2 linked regions of the Cricetulus griseus genome follow. The main gene of each other region encodes a partner of the protein of the gene in region 2 in a complex. Links are inferred from orthologs where the notes say so. Each region holds a gene or a part of one and is shown on either strand. Other genes may lie near its edges. The genes, in order: Mmp2 and Timp2.

Evidence for each region.
Region 1: the proteins of Timp2 (region 2) and Mmp2 are in contact, whole or in part, in a crystal structure (PDB 1GXD), measured with the Homo sapiens proteins. The link is inferred for Cricetulus griseus from reciprocal best matches to the Homo sapiens genes TIMP2 and MMP2. Residues at the interface, in NP_003246.1 of Homo sapiens: Ile162, Pro163, Cys164, Tyr165, Ile166, Pro169, Leu173, Met175, Val178, Thr179, Phe191, Arg196, Asp198, Ser200, Cys201, Ala202, Trp203, Tyr204, Arg205, Ala208, Lys211, Gln212, Glu213, Phe214, Leu215, Asp216, Glu218; in NP_004521.1 of Homo sapiens: Trp574, Lys576, Asn577, Lys579, Tyr581, Phe588, Arg590, Lys595, Asp599, Phe602, Lys604, Ile606, Ala607, Asp608, Ala609, Trp610, Asn611, Ala612, Asp615, Tyr636, Leu638, Leu645, Lys646, Ser647, Val648, Lys649, Phe650, Gly651, Ser652.

The regions. Positions count from the first base shown.
Region 1 is NC_048596.1:168,542,383-168,546,755, forward strand, and holds the start of Mmp2 (72 kDa type IV collagenase), read left to right. Parts: upstream 1-1,455; 5' UTR 1,456-1,471; coding exon 1,472-1,668; intron 1,669-2,364; coding exon 2,365-2,513; intron 2,514-3,426; coding exon 3,427-3,555; intron 3,556-3,742; coding exon 3,743-3,916; intron 3,917-4,373.
Region 2 is NC_048600.1:130,872,508-130,876,318, forward strand, and holds part of Timp2 (metalloproteinase inhibitor 2), read right to left. Parts: intron 1,849-3,811; coding exon 1,748-1,848; intron 1-1,747. UniProt on the Homo sapiens protein: Complexes with metalloproteinases (such as collagenases) and irreversibly inactivates them by binding to their catalytic zinc cofactor. Known to act on MMP-1, MMP-2, MMP-3, MMP-7, MMP-8, MMP-9, MMP-10, MMP-13, MMP-14, MMP-15, MMP-16 and MMP-19.

The sequences.
Region 1 (4,373 bases), on a different chromosome or scaffold from region 2:
CTCTCTGGGTAGATGGGTTGGGCAATCTTTAAGTATTCACAGTGCTACTTTTTTCAAGGGTCTAAAAGCAGTGATGCATCCAATGGCTGATATTAAGAGTGGAACTTCTGAGCAGTTACCTGGGTATTCACGCCTTCTGTAGCCGAAGCCTTTGTTGCCCAGAGGTAGTGCAAGTGGAGAGAAGTTAACAAGCAGGGTGGGGGTGGGGGGTTGCAATCAATCATGGTGGTGCACACTTGTGAAGTCAGTCCTGGGGAAACTGGGACAGGAGGGTCCTCGGTTCAACTTGAGCTTGGACTTGAAAATGAAAAAGACATAAAACAAAAAGAAAGAAAAAAAAGGGGGGGCACTTTGAACTTAAATACTACTCCCTGCAAACCCTCTCAGGGAGTGTATTAACCTACTGGCCTGGTGATCACTGATGACTGATGTAACTTCAGGAGTGGCCATTTCTTTGAAGTCAGAGGGTCAGAACGGCACCCATCCATCTTTGTGATAAGTGGGCAGGTGCTCTCAGATACTTAGACGAGCATTTGGCACCGGGGAAGCACTCAGTAAACATCGGGCATTAGGACTGTTATATTGCCATTATCAGCACTACTGTCATGCCCTCCTTCCCCCGCTTTGTGTACTGCCTCCAAGGATGTGAGAACCAGTCAGCATCACTTCTGGTTCCTTTCACCGCTCCAGCCAGCCCTTCCCACATATTTAATTCTTCGTTTCTTTGTGATTTCCACTCACGTTCCTGCACTGGGTTTTGGATCTTACAGACTAGAAGTGCCTGTCTTGATCATCAGTTTACCCTGGCAATAGAACAAGGATAATTGACTGGGGGCAGGCATCAAACAATGTTTGTTGAGCAGCTGGCTGCTAGTTTAGGGCAGACCCTCTGAAGAATAAGACTTGTCTCTGTTGAGAAACTGTGGGTGAAAATTTGAACACAGGTATGCTACCAAATCCCATGCACAAAATTCTTGGATTTCTTTATAGAAAAAGAAAGAAAGAAAGAAAGAAAGAAAGAAAGAAAGAAAGAAGGAGGAGGGCAATGTATGCCTAGGCCTGTTGGGAGGTTCAACCAGATAGATGCTGGAGTATCAGGGTTCAAGCATGGGCTCTGGAGTACACTGCTTGGTGTCAAATCCAGAGCTGCCATGTGTGAGTGGTTTCATATCAAGCAACTCTTTTAAGCTGTCTTATATATAGTGGGTGGTACATAACATCTGCTACATTCAGAGAAAAAAAGTTGGTAACCACGCCATTTACAGGTGCATGCCATCCAGTGACAGAACTCATTTGGGAGCCTAAGACTCCACTCTGTGTCCTTGGACTCCTTGATTCTGTTCTGTCCCAAGTAGGGGATGTTTGGGGAGTAGTTGGGACTGTGTGCTTTGCCATCCCAATGTGGCTCCTAGCTTTGAGACTGACTACCTGTCTCTTTCAGCAATACTTGAATACTTTCTACGGCTGCCCCATGGAGAGCTGCAATCTTTTCGTGCTGAAGGACACCCTCAAGAAGATGCAGAAATTCTTTGGGCTGCCTCAGACAGGTGACCTTGACCAGAATACCATCGAGACCATGCGGAAGCCACGCTGTGGCAACCCGGATGTGGCCAACTACAACTTCTTTCCCCGAAAGCCCAAGTGGGACAAGAACCAGCTCACATACAGGTGCCAAGGGGGGGGGGCTGGGGATGCAGGGCCAGCAGCCTGAGGGATGTGAGTCTTCTTGGGACTTGCCTTTCCAATTCAGGGGGCCCATAAAGTGTCATTACTGAAATACGAAAATTCAGAGACTCTTCATACAGAGTTCTTGGTGACAAGCCAGGCAGACCTAGACTTGAGTCTCATACTCACTAATCTTGGGGCACTGGTCTTATTCTCGTGCAGTCTGAGTTGGTATCCTTGCTTATGAAAGAGGGCTAAAAAATCTACTTCTCATAGGGGTGATTGGGGAACTAAATTAGATTACATGTAAATCAAGGGCTTCTACAATGTTTGTTACAGAGAAAGGGTCTAGTAAGTGTTGGTGATATTATCACTTGGGTCATTGGAGTAGGTCAAGGAAGTTTGATGAGCAGCTGATAATTGTGCTTTTAATCTTGTGTTGTTATGATTGGTTGCTAATTAGGCTAAGAGCTCTATCCTGTGTAGCTGGTGTTTATCAAGGGTGAGATCTCTGCCTTTTGTCTGCTATTTGCTGTTTAGGTCTCTGGTGCCCTTGTCCCAGACAGAAGTGAGAGATGAGAAAGTCTGGGATTCTGGAAACATCAGGGCACTTAGGCACACACTCATGCACACACACTGGGCACGTAGACATTTGCACGGTTGCATATGCACACTCACATGCATTTCTCCCCTCTCTAGGATCATTGGTTACACACCTGACCTGGACCCCGAGACAGTGGATGATGCCTTTGCTCGGGCCTTACAAGTATGGAGTGATGTGACTCCACTACGCTTTTCTCGAATCCATGACGGGGAAGCTGACATCATGATCAACTTTGGTCGCTGGGGTAGGCAGAAGGGGGGCTGGAAAGTGGGTCAACATAGAGACAGCAGGGCCATGTAGACTTTTGAAACATTTGGGGATCCTGAGGGCAGCTTACCAAGAAGGTGTAGACACTTGATGTGGATTAGATGGAAATAGCAGAACACTGCCCAGACCCTGGAGAGCCACGGCTGTGAGAGCAGAGAATGCACTGCAGTGTACACAGTGAAAATCTACTGCACCCTCTAAATGACAGCCCCTAAGTGGCTTATTGGACTTAAAGTAATATGAAAGACCTTTTTAATTAAAATTCAGTTGTCACAAGAGCAACATAGGAGGAAGTGGAATAGAATCTGGGGTCAAACCACCATCTTTAAGCTGTTGGTATGAACTGGTTGCAGTGTAAATATGAAGGCTGGTGGTATAGATACCAGGTGGTAAAGCAATGAAGGCAGATGGAGGGGAAGAACAGTGTAGACATGGGAGTAAGTAAGGTGAGCATGCTGTCACAGTGGGCCTGAGGGCCAGCTCTCTGGGTAGTGATGACAATCTGCCAGGAGAGTAGGGCATGGTGAGGAAGACAGTGTTGATGGGAGGTCATGGGTGTCAGGAAAGCACGTGGTTAGCATGCCTTAGTGGCACTGGAGGCGTGTGGATGGGCACAGTGATTTTGAGATCAATGAAGACAGCAGAGGTCAGTGGTGCAGGTGAAGAGGACCATGTGGACTTGAGAGTAGTTTGGGCCACAGAATGGTAGCAACCAAGCCAGAGCTTTTTCATTAACTCCCTGCAATGCCTATCCTAGATAACCACAATGGGAAAAGGGAAGGGGACAGGTGCTTGGAGGACAGAGGACACAGCTTAGGCTGTGACTAGACTTAAGGACCAAGTGGTGGGAGTGAGGAATGCTAAGAGCTAAGAATCAATGTGGGTTTCAGAGCATGGAGATGGATACCCATTTGATGGCAAGGATGGACTCCTGGCACATGCCTTCGCCCCGGGTACTGGTGTTGGGGGAGACTCTCACTTTGATGACGATGAGCTGTGGACCCTGGGGGAAGGGCAAGGTAAGATAGCCTCTACTGGCTTGCTTCTCTGTCCCCTAGCAACCAAAACCAACCTTAAGCCTTTCTTCTGTTCTGATGGGATCGGGGCATTGAGAGGGGTAGGGAAGTCAGCTTCCAGGGTGAGCCCACAGCCTAGTGTCTGATGAAGGCCCTGGAGAGGTGTGTTCCATCTCTGTATGCCCTGCAGTGGTCCGGGTAAAGTATGGAAATGCTGATGGCGAGTACTGCAAGTTCCCCTTCCTGTTTAATGGCCGGGAATACAACAGCTGCACTGATGCCGGCCGCAGCGATGGCTTCCTCTGGTGTTCCACCACCTACAACTTCGAGAAGGATGGCAAGTACGGCTTCTGCCCCCATGAAGGTGAGCAGCTACCCTGGACCCAACCCTTATCCTACCCAGACCCCCAGCCTACCTAGGTTCCTGCTATGCTTTCCCCCTCCACATTCCACAGGCCAGTCAACCATCATCCCCTCACCCATGTCCATTATCTTGATTTTAGCCATCATTGTGTCCCTCTTCTACTGTTATAGCTATATATTGATTAATGTCAGGTACACGTTCCAAAAATGTATATTTTGTAGAAGTTCATCATCACTGTGTGAACACAGACTCCTTACACAAGTTGAGAAGGTTACAAAGTAACCAGCCAATCTGGCCTTATGGGACCACTGTCACATGGGACCATCATGGTCTGTTGTGACTTCAATGTTATTTTTGTGATGTATGACCATATGTACTTACTTTATATCTACATAAGTCACTTCAGGTTTTTGAAAGTCTCACTGTTAGCAGTATTATTTGTGAAATTGTGGATTTG
Region 2 (3,811 bases):
GTTTCACCCCGCTCCCCTTTTACTCACACCCTTCCCGACACCCCAGAAGAGGGTTTTCGTTTGCCTCTTCCTTCCTTCCTTCCTTCCTTCCTTCCTTCCTTCCTTCCTTCCTTCCTTCCTTCTTTCCTTCCTTCGAGTTTTAAATATTTATTTTTATTTCTACTTCCATGGTGTGTTTGTGTCTGTGTGTCTGCTACCATGAGGTGCCCTCAGAAGCCAGATTCCCCTCAAGCAGGGCCGGCAGGCAGTTGTGAGCTGCCTGACATGGGTGCTGGGATCCTAATTCTGGAGGAGTAGTCAGTGCTCTTACCCACTGAGCCTTCAGGCTGCAGTCCCTCTCCAGGACAAAACGGCTTTGGGGAGCTCAGTTCTAACGCTGTAGGAAGGAAGGTTGCCAGGGCAACAGAGTCACTTCCTGGTATTAAGCCACGAGGAGGTGATGAGGTTACGCAAGCCCACCTGCTTCTCTGCCTCAGAAGGAGACTTTGGTATTGAGAGTTAGTCGTTCCTGAGGTGACACATGGGATGAGGAAGTGCTCGCTCCTCTGGCCTGTTGATAATATTTATTTTCAATTTTGGTAAATAAGGATGTCTACAACCACTACTGCATGACAAAGCTGTCCCTAACACTGGAGGAGCCAGCTGTCTTTCTTTGAATACCAAGTTAGTAAATGTCAACTACCAGAGCAGGCATGTACCACCCTACCTAGTTTTGTAATTCCAGGGATCAAACTCAGGGCTTCATGTGTGCTCGGTAAGCATGCTACCAACTGAGCCATATCCCCTGCCTCTCCCTTAACATCTCTCTCTCTCTCTCTCTCTCTCTCTCTCTCTCTCTCTCTCTCTCTTCGTGTGTGTGTGTGTGTCTGTCTGTCTGTCTGTCTGTCTGTTTCTCTCTCTCTCTCTCTCTCTGTCTGCCTCTCTCTGAGTATCTCTGTCTCTCTCTGTCTGTCTCTCTCTCTAACACTGGTTCTTCCCATTTGTCTCTGACACACAAAGTACTCTGAATATACTAGCAGACACCACCACAGCCACGACTGGGGCCATCTGCAGTTCCCCGACCACAGCCCTGTCCGCTCAATGGGCTACCTTCTCAGTAAATGGCCCACCACAGTCAGGAAGCTGCCCTCAAGTACAACTGACTGCCAGACTCTTCCTCTTATGACATGCTACCCCCAGGTTTATCACCTGGTAAAATCAAGCTAGTCTGTTTCTGGAATTAGGGTGACATGGTGGTTTGAATGAGAACGGGCCCATGGGGTCAAATATGCAAATGCTTGGTCCCCTAGTAGGTAGAACTGTGTGGGAAGGATTAGGAGGTATGGCTTTATTGAAGGAGGTCTGTCACTGAGGGTGGGCTTTGAGGTTTCAAAAGCTCATGCCAGGCCCAATGTCCCTCACTCCACCTGCTGCCTTAGGGTCAGGTTGCAAAGCTCTCAGCTACTGCTCCAGAACCATCCACGTCTGCCTGCCTCCCACCATGATGACCACGGACTCATCTTCTGAAACTGTAAGCAGGCCCCTGTTTAATATGCTTTCTTTACAAGACTTGCTTTGGTTCCTGTGCCAAGCATAGGACAGTGACTGAGGCAGCTGAAAACCTCACATTTCTGCCAGCCTTTCATGTTCTTGTGGCTTAAGGAGAACTGGGCTTCTTTGTGGCTTGACAGCTCAGCTTTCTGGCTTACGGTGGCTGGGAGGCGTTCCAGGACCCCATCCCTGCTTCCCCCACCAAACCAGGGGCTACCTTTATCTGCTTGATCTCATATTGGATCCTCTTGATGGGGTTGCCGTAGATGTCGTTCCCGGAATCCACCTCCTTCTCGCTTACTGCTTTGGCCCTGATCACTGCAAAATACAGAGACACAGATGAGGAGAGTCCCGGAGGACCAGGATTCAGGCTCTGCCCAGGGGAGGAAGGTGTCCCTCCCTACTGGAGGTACAAAGGGAGGTGGGTCTATTGCCCAAACACTGTAACCTGAGGGGGTCAGAGGAGTTGGGTTGGCACAGGAAGGAGAGGAGACTCTGTAGCTTGTTGTCCTGGGTTGGTTAGCAAGAGTTCTTTGCTGTGGCTGGGATGTGATTCAATTGGCCGAGTGCTTGACTAGTATGCACAAAGACCTGTGTTCAGTCTCTAGCACCAAGTAAAAGTGGGCGCAGTGACACACACTTTTAACCCCAGTCCTTAGGACATGGAGTCAGGAGGGTCAGAACTTCAAGGACAGCCTGGGCTAATAAAACCCTGCCTTACCAGGTGGTGTGTATATGTGTGGTGGGGGACACGCCTTTAAGCCCAACACTCAGGTAGATCTCTGAGTTAGAAGCCAGCCTGTTCTACAGAGTGAGTTTCAGGGCAGTCAGGGCTACACAGAGAAACCTCTTGTCAAAAACAAAAATAAAAAAAAACAAAACAAAACAACAACCACAAACCTGACTCAAAGACAAAATCAAAAACCAAAAAGCTGGCCAGGCATTGGTGGCACAGGCCTTTGATCCCAGAACTTGGGAGGCAGAGGCAGGTGGATCTCTGTGAGTTCGAGACCAGCCTGGTCTTCAAGAGCTAGTTCCAGGACAGCCTCCTAAGCCACAGAGAAACCCTGCCAGGAAAAACAAAACAAAATAAAACAAAATACCAAAAAGCTGGGTGTGATGACTCACACCTTTAACTCCTGCACTTGGAGCAGAGGCAGGTGGATCTCTGCGAGTTCAAGGCCAGCCTGGCCTACATAGTGAATTCCAGGACAGCAAGGGCTACAAAGTGAGACCCTGTCTCAAACAAAACCACCCCAAACAAAACCCAAACCAATGTATCCCAAATGAATCATTTGTTGACTAGGGCCATAGGCGGCTCTGTACAGCGGTAGGCTGTGGCCATGGGTCAGGTTCTTCCTACCTACTGGTGACTAGAGAAACAGTAAACAAATGGCCTAGCATATAGTCCTGCCCCTGCAGGTAGGGCTGGTGGAGAGGTGACTCTGTCATGCCAGCATCTCATCCTCAAACAGACTTTGGAGGCTCAAGAAGATGGGCAGCCATCCACCGCAAAGGAGCCTGGTTATTCAGATTTGGGGTCTCCACAGGGGTGGGGGGGTCCTGGAGCACAGCCCAGAGCAAAGCACCGGCCTAGCATTCAAGAGGTTCAGAGATCCCTCTCTAGAAGTTTCCGTGTGAGATGTCGTATGGGACAAGCGTGTGAAGGTCATGTATCATTTCTCAGGCGCCACCTGCCTTGGTTTTTGGGTGTTTTTTTTTTTTTTCTCCATTTTTATTTGTTGGGGGTGGGCAGGGTTTGCACATTGCCGGATACAGCCAACATGTCAAAGTCAGAGGACGCCTTATGGGAGTCTCTCCACCGAGTGGGTTCCAGGGATGGAACTGAGGTGAACAGGCTGTGGCAAGCAAGCGCCTTTACACACTGAATCCTGTCACTGAATTCCCCACCTTATTTTTTGAGACAGGATGTCTCATTGGCCTGGAGCTCACTGGCTGGCTTGCCAGCAAGCCTCTGCGTTCAACTGTGTCTTCCTTCCCAGTGCTGGGATTATAATCACAGGCCACCAGCCATGGCTTTGTGAGACATTCTTTAAAGTAACATGTATTCTGAGAAGCGTGACAGGCGTGGAGTCGGAATGCATATCATGCAGGCTATGGATCTGGTCAGTAGTGCTGTCAAACCTTAGACACAAATGGTAAGGAAGCAGGACATGCTCGAAGAATATCTAGGACAACAATCAAAAGAAGTGATGGGAAGGGATATACCAGGAAAGTTCCAGAATGTTCTGGAGCCTGGTCGTGCCTAGCATGGGTTTTT